2 linked regions of the Anolis sagrei genome follow. The protein of the gene in region 1 interacts with the protein of each later gene in a pairwise test. Links are inferred from orthologs where the notes say so. Each region holds a gene or a part of one and is shown on either strand. Other genes may lie near its edges. The genes, in order: COIL and PDLIM5.

Region 1 (3,919 bases):
GACTCAGATAACCCAGTTCAAAGCAGATATTGTGGGATTTTCTGCCTTGATATTCTGGAATACAGGGCTGTGTGGAAGGGGCCCAAATGCTGTTGGCTGTAGTTTAGAGAGGGAACTAGCAAATCCACTTCTGAAGCACCATCAACACTGCCATATAAAATCCAGATTAGCTGTGGAATTATGTTAGTCTATGTTGGGCCAGAGGTTTAGCACAGCTGGTAAATCATCAGCAGTTATAAGATCTATCAACCAAAAGGTTGCAAGTTTGAAGCCCTGGGTTGGAGTGAGCTGCCAACTGTCAGCCTAGCTCATTGTTTACCTAAGCAATTCAATTTAGGTACCACTAAATAGGATGGCTCTTCATCATATGAGGGTAGAGCAACAGATCCCCCTGGACTCCAGCCCAACCTTCCATGGCACCTCCTTCTGTTCTGTGTATCATCTATACAAAGTGGCATTGAATGTTTGCCGTGTATGTGTACTGTGATCCACCCTGAGTCCCCTTCGGGGTGAGAAGGGTGGAATATAAGTAAAGTGTTGTTGTTGTTGTTGTTGTTATTAGTCTACACTGCCATATAATCCAGTTCATTGTGGCATTTTAAATGGCAATGTAGATGGGGCCTGAGGGCCCTTCCAGACTGGCCCTATATACTAGGATCTGATCCCAGGTTTTCAGTTTATCCCAGGGCCCTTCCACACAGCCTTATATCCCAGAATATCAAGGCAGAAAATCCTACAATATTTTTGGAACTGGGTTATCTGAGTCCACAGGCAGATAATGTGGGATTTTCTGACTTGATATTCTGGGATATAGGGCTGTGTGGAAGGGCCCTCAGACTATCTGGCAGTGTGGACACATACAATCCAGTTTAAAGCACAAAATGTGGGATCAGATCCTGGGATTTAAGGCCAGTCTGGAAGCCCACATTATCTGCTTTGAAGTGGGATATATGGCAGTGTGGACTCAGATAACCCAGTTCAAAGCAGATATTGTGGGTTATTTGGCTCTGATATTCTGGGTTATATGACTGTGTGGAAGGACTTTGAATCTTCCTTGCCAATGAAAACCTATGACCCATAAAATCGACAAAGGATTTAGAGGCACAACCATATTTCTATTGATATTAATCTTTTTTTCCTCTCCAGTGAAAGGATTGAGCGCCGCTGCCGAAAGAGGGCGCTGGCGGGCAAGAGGCTGGTGTCCCTTCTTCGGTCTCGCGCGCTTTCTCTTCCTTTGACCCTCGCGGCGTGCCGTAGCGAGGGTCCTTTCGCTCCCCAAGATGGCGGCGGCCTGCGAGGCGCCGGTGCGGCTGCGGCTGCTGTTCGACTACCCACCCCCGGGGAGCCCGGCCTGCGGGCTGTGCTGGCTCCTGCTGGAGCCTAGCCAAGTGCGCCTCGTCACCGACCTCATCAGCCTCATCCGGGACAAGTTCGGCTTCAGCCGCCGCGCCAAGCTCAGCCTCTTCCTGGACGGGGCGCTCCTCCCGCCCACCGAGAGCGCGCGCCTCGTGCGGGACAACGACTCCCTCCGGTAGGGACCCGGGCAGCACCCCCCCCCCCCGCCCCAGAAGGGATGCCGCGCCCCGGGAATTGCCTTCCACGTCCAGCGGCCCCAGGAGACCCACGCAGTTCCACAACAACTTGGGAGGCGGGGGGGGGGGGGGTCATGTCATTCCCAATTCAGTGTCTAGATAAGACTTAACACTGGGGTAGAATTAATGCACTTTGACTCCACTGTAGTTGTCCATGGCTGAATGCTATGGAATAATTAAAATTGTAGTTTTACAAGGTCTTTAGTCCACTTTGCCTAAGACGGCTGGTGCCTCGCCAAACTACACATCCCAGGACTCCACAGCATTGAGCCCACGCAGTTTAAGTGGGACCAGACTGCATTCATTCCACAGTGTAAATGCACCCACAGACTGGTCGCCACAAGTGAGAAAGGACTTGAAGGCACACAACTGCAACAACAACAAGAGGCAGGTAAGTTCTTGTGGGTTTTTTCGGGCTATAGGGCCATGTTCTAGAGGCATTTCTCCTGACGTTTCGCCTGCATCTATGGCAAGCATCCTCAGAGGTAGTGAGGTCTGTTGGAAATAGGAAAAGGGTTTATATATCTGTGGAATGACCAGGGTGGGACAAAGGACTTTTGTCAGTTGGGCTAAGTGTGAATATTTCAACTGACCACCTTGATTAGCATACAATGGGCTGACTGTGTATGCTTACCAAGGTGGTCAGTTGAAACATTCACGCCTAGCCCAACTGACAAAAGTCCTTTGTCCCACCCTGGTCATTCCACAGATATATAAACCCTTTTCCCAGTTCCAACAGACCTCACTACCTCTGAGGATGCTTGCCATAGATGCAGGCGAAATGTCAGGAGAAATGCCTCTAGAACATGGCCATATAGCCCGAAAAAACCCACAAGAACTTAGTGATTCCAGCCATGAAAGCCTTCGACAATACAAAGAGGCAGGTAGTTGTGGTGCTCCGCTTACAGATGATGAGGCTCGCTCCTTATTTGTATAACACTGTCAGATACACATTAGGCCAGGCGTCCTCAAACTGAGGCCCGGGGGCCGGATGCGGCCCTCCAAGGTCATTTACCCAGCCCTTACTCAGGGTCAACCTAAGTCTGAAACGACTTGAAAGCACACAATAACAACAACAATCCTATCTCATCAGCCAAAATCAGACCCACACTTTACACTGAAATACTAATAAGTTTATATTAGTTAAAATTGTTCTTAATTTTAATTATTGTATTGGTTTTTTTGTTTGTTTTTTTACAAAATTGCACTATAAATAAGATATGTGCAGTGTGCATAGGAATTCATTCATTTTCTCCCCGAATTATAATCAGGCCCGCCAACAGTTTGAGGGACTGTGACCTGGCCCTTTGTTTAAAAAGTTTGTGGACCCCTGCATTAGGCCTTGCAATAAAACAAGTGAAAGCAACAAGTCCTACAATGTATCTGTGCACAATCATAAGGCCCCTTCAGCTATATAAAATCCACATCGAACTGTATTATCTGGCAGTGTGGATTCAGGACCATTCCACACAGCTGAATAAAATCCCACATTTTCTGCTCTGAAGTGGAATATATAGCAGTGTGGACTCAATCCAGTTCAAAGCAGATATTGTAGGATATCTGCCACAATATTCTGGGTTATATGTGGCAAATTTTGGCCGTCCAGGCGTTTTGGACTTCAACTCCCAGAAACCCCTGCCAGTTTACCATGGGAATTGAAATCCAAATCAGCTGGAGGGCCAAAACTTGCCCATGCTGGTCTAATATATACCTGGAACAACAAATTACAAAACTGTACAATTGCCGAACAAATTACGTGGATAAAATGCCAATAAAAAACAAGACACAATGTGATACGAAGCACACAAAGAATCAAAACAGATAAGACTGCAAAACAACATTAAACTAAACCTCAAAGGTTTGGGCAAATAAAAAATAATCAATTGAGATTTAAAAACTTAGAGGGGAGGAGCTGTTAATGTTGTGTGCCTTCACGTCATTTCTGATTAATTGTGGGCCTATAAAAAGTTTTTATTGCAAGTTTTTTTTCTGAGATTGAAAGAGTGGGAGTTGTCTGAGGTCACCCTTAGGATTTCTAAGGCTAGGTGGGGAATCAAGCTTTGGCCTCACAGAGCTGTAGCCCAATGCTCAAATTACTAAACCACACTGGCTTTCACGGTGGGACAACATCTCCCCTAATTCTGTACCTATATTGGCTAGGACTGATGGGGATTGTAAGCCGATAAGTATGGAGGACCAACAGTTCCCTCCCTTTGTCAACAGTTCCTTGGTATAAAGTCACCAGTAAGCAACTTGGTTTGTTTCCACATAACGAAAAATAACATCATAGCAAAGACATAGTGATAGGCTTGGTTGCTTTTTCTCTA
Region 2 (3,919 bases), on another chromosome or scaffold:
TGTATAAATATGTGAGAGGAAGCCACAGGGAGGAGGGAGCAAGCTTGTTTTCTGCTTCCATGGAGATTAGGACAAGGAACAATGGCTTCAAACTACAAGAGAGGAGATTCCATCTGAACATGAGGAAGAACTTCCTGACTGTGAGAGCCGTTCAGCAGTGGAACTCTCTGCCCCGGAGTGTGGTGGAGGCTCCTTCTTTGGAAGCTTTTAAACAGAGGCTGGATGGCCATCTGTCAGGGGTGATTTGAATGCAATATTCCTGCTTCTTGGCAGGGGGTTGGTCTGGATGGCCCATGAGGTCTCTTCCAACTCTTTGATTCTATGAGAGATGCGGCATCTTCATAACGTGCGATGCTTCTGGACCCAGCTATCGAAAAGGCCTTACTGGTGCATTATTTAAACTGTTATGTTTATTCATATCATGATCTGATCAGCATACTCAATATATCCCATATGCATGGTGGTATTGGGGTAATGATACAAAAGGTTTGCTAGGCTAGACCCTCTTTCACTCAGACTCAGCCCCCCTCCCTGAAACCCCCTCTGAAAAAAACTCAGCCCCCCCCCCCCCCCGAATTGAAATCCTGGCTACGGGTCTGACCGTTATATATTACAATTATCCATTTTTGTTATTTAAACTATAAAAATTGTGAAATTATTGGTTGTTTTTTTTCCTCTGGAAGAGAATGCTTAGTTTTGCTTAGTTTTTTGGCGAACTTTGACACACCAAGCTCAAAAGGTTGCCCATCCCTGCCATAATCAGTTCTAATTCTGTCTGCTCATTTCCTCTTTCTCACTTCCTTAAAGAAAAGCATTTGACAGTTAAAGCGGTATCAAAGTGTTCTCCTATTCTGCAGTGTGGATAGTCTTGCAAGGCAGGGAATGCTTGCTGAGCCTTGGCTTCTTCCAAAGGCGCATCTGGAAGGTTCCCCTCTGTCTCCCCTTCTCTCTCTCTCTCTCTCTTCTCTCTTCCCTCCCCTTCCCTCCCCTTCCCTCCTTGGCTGCCCAGGGGAGGAGCCCAGGCAAAGGGGCGGAAGCGCAAACAAGAGCCCAAGGCCAGTCCCTGTGTGCTTGGAGTTTGCGCTCTGAGGCGCAAAAGGAGCCGCGTCCTGTGCCGAGACGGTAAGCAGGCAAAGCGGGAGGAGGCAGGGAAGGGAGGGAGGAAGGAAGGGGCTTGGCAGGGAAAGAAAGAGGGGCTTCGCGGGCCGTCAAAGCGAACCTCCTTCTGGGCTAAAGGCTGGAGCGGAGGCGGAGAAGGGCTCCCGACAGAAGAAGAGGCGCCTCGGAAACTTTCCTCCGGCGTTTTGCTGTCCTGGGCTGGCAGGTTAAGTAAGAGGCAGAGCGTCTTCCGAGGGGTCATCAAAGCCACAGTCTGGGAGAGCAGCCTGCAAAGATCTGAGGGGGCCTCTGCACTGTAAAACTAATCCAGTTCCAGACCTCCTTAACTGCCGTGGCTCAAGGCAAAGGGGCCGTGGAAGCTATAGTTCTACGCCAGTGTTTCTCAACCTTCCTAATGCCTCAACCCCTTCATACAGTTCCTCCTGCTGTGGTGACCCCCAACCATAAGAATATTTTCATTGCTACTTCATAACTGTCATTTTGCTACTGTTTATGAATCGTAATGTAAATATCTGATATGCAGGATGTATTTTCATTCACTGGGCCAAATTTGGCATAAATACCCAATACCCCAAATTTGAATGCTGGTGGGGTTGGGGTGGGGATTGATTTTGTCACTTGGGAGTTTATTTGCAGGGATTTATAGTTAACTCACACTCAAAAAGCATTCTGAACTCCACCAAGGATGGAATTGAACCAATCTTGGCACACCTTGAATTTTGGAGTTGTAGTTCACCTACATCCAGAGAGCACTGTGGACTCAAACCATGATTGATCTGGACCAAACTTGGCACGAATACTCAATGTGCCCAAATGTGAACACTGGTGGAGTTTGAGGAAAATAAACCTTAACATTTGGGTGGGATGAATACAATCAAAGAGCATGCTGAACCTCACCAACGATTGAATTGGGCCAAACTTCTCACACAGAACCCCCATGACCAACAGAAAATATTTTTTTCTGATGGTCTTTGGTGACACCCTTGTGACCCCCCCCCCCCCCCGGGGTCCCAACCCTCAGGTTGAGATACACTGTTCTACAAGGTCTTTAGCTTCCTCTGCCAAAGAGTGTTTGTGCTACAGCCAGGCATGGGCAAACTTCAGCTCTTCAGGTGTTTTGGACTCCAACTCCCACAATTCATAACACCCAGCAGTTAGAAACTGTGGGAGTTGGAGTTCTAAATACCAGGAGGGCCGAAGTTTGTCCATGCCTGTGCTATGTCTAACTTCAAATCCCCAGGGTTCCGTAGCATTGAGCCAGGGCAACTCAAGTGGTTGTCAAACTGCATTCATTCTACTGTGTAGCATATGCACCACCAGAGAAAGAAATTAATAGCAGAAGTTTTTGGAGAGGAAAGTTAGCGGAAAACTTCTGCTGCAGGTTCAACATCCCTTATCTAAAATGTTTGGGACTGGGAGTGTTTTGAATTTTGGAGTTTTATTTTTGGATATTGGAATGCTTTCGTTGGAGTACGGGATCCAAAGCTAAACACAACATTTATTTATATTTCATATATGCCTAATATACGTAGCCTGCAGGCCATTTTACACACAATATTTTTAAACGCAATTATGCATGAATCAAAGTTTGTTTGCATTGAACCACCAGAAAGCAAAGTTGTTGCTTTCGCAGGCATCACGTGGACAATTGTGGATTTTAGAGTATTTTGGATTTTGGAACTTGAATTGGGCCAAACTTCTCAGACAGGGTTGTTCCGCTTGTATCATCTTCTTTCTCTCAGGGTGCATTTACACCAGGCATGGGTATAGCTGCTTAAGTGGCTGAGGGAGAAAAGGAAGGGTCCTGAGGCTGTTAGGAATTGTGGGAGTTGAAGTCCAAAACATTTGGAGGGCCAAAGTTTGCACATGCCTGATCTACACAGTCAAGTGAATTCAGTTTGACTTCCATGGCTCATTATGCTGGAATCATGGTGCTGTACCATAGTTTTATAAAGTTTTTCAAGGTCTATAGCAGATCCCTCTCCCAACTCCCAGGAGCATATAGCCCTGAGCCATGACAGCTATAGTGATGCCAGACTGCATTCATTCCACAGTGTGGATGCACATTTAGTCTCCAAGGGGTTATAAGACCCCTTTGCATGTAATCAAAGTGTTTGGCTTTTGCTGGCTCTAACCTTTACTTAAGGAGGGGTCGAAAGAAATAACCCTACAGCACTGTGTTCTCATTTTCCACCTTGAGTTAACCCTCTTTTGAGTTCTGTTTGGAATTCATTTCTTCTCTGATTTTATACACACACATCAACACTTCACTTTCTCCTAAAAGCAAGAAAGTCTTTTAAAGAGGAAAGGCACAAACAGTCTCATCCTAGAGCCGACCTGAGTCCCTTCCCTTTCCCTTTTTATTATTTAAGGAACTGAGAAAGAGAAAATAAGTGCAGCTTTGTTTTATTACAGCATTTCTCAACCTGGGGGTCAGGTATTTCAGTATTTTCTGTTAGTCATGGGAGTCCTGTGTGCTAAGTTTGGTTCAGTTCCATCATTGGTGGAGTTCAGAATACTTTTTGATTGTAGGTTGACTTTAAATCCCAGCAACTACAACTCCCAAATGACAACATCAATCCCCCAACCCCAATATGGGCATATTGGGAATTTGTGCCAAATTTGGTCCAGTGAATGAAAATACATCCTGCACAGCAGATATTTCCATTACTATTGATAACAGTAGCAAAATGACAGTTATGAAGTAGCAACTAAAATAATTTTATGGTTGGGAGTCACCATAACATGAGGAACTGTATTAAGGAGTTGTGGTATTAGGAAGTTGGGAACCACTGTTTTA

What was found.
Region 2: the proteins of COIL (region 1) and PDLIM5 interact in binary tests that used the Homo sapiens proteins (3 or more experiments, as listed by UniProt). The two-hybrid records come from large-scale screens. The link is inferred for Anolis sagrei from reciprocal best matches to the Homo sapiens genes COIL and PDLIM5.

What each region holds. Positions count from the first base shown.
Region 1 is NC_090022.1:144,152,382-144,156,300, reverse strand, and holds the start of COIL (coilin), read left to right. Parts: upstream 1-1,269; 5' UTR 1,270-1,280; coding exon 1,281-1,531; intron 1,532-3,919. UniProt on the Homo sapiens protein: Component of nuclear coiled bodies, also known as Cajal bodies or CBs, which are involved in the modification and assembly of nucleoplasmic snRNPs.
Region 2 is NC_090025.1:23,614,032-23,617,950, forward strand, and holds the start of PDLIM5 (PDZ and LIM domain protein 5), read left to right. Parts: upstream 1-1,017; 5' UTR 1,018-1,122; intron 1,123-3,919. UniProt on the Homo sapiens protein: May play an important role in the heart development by scaffolding PKC to the Z-disk region. May play a role in the regulation of cardiomyocyte expansion. Isoforms lacking the LIM domains may negatively modulate the scaffolding activity of isoform 1.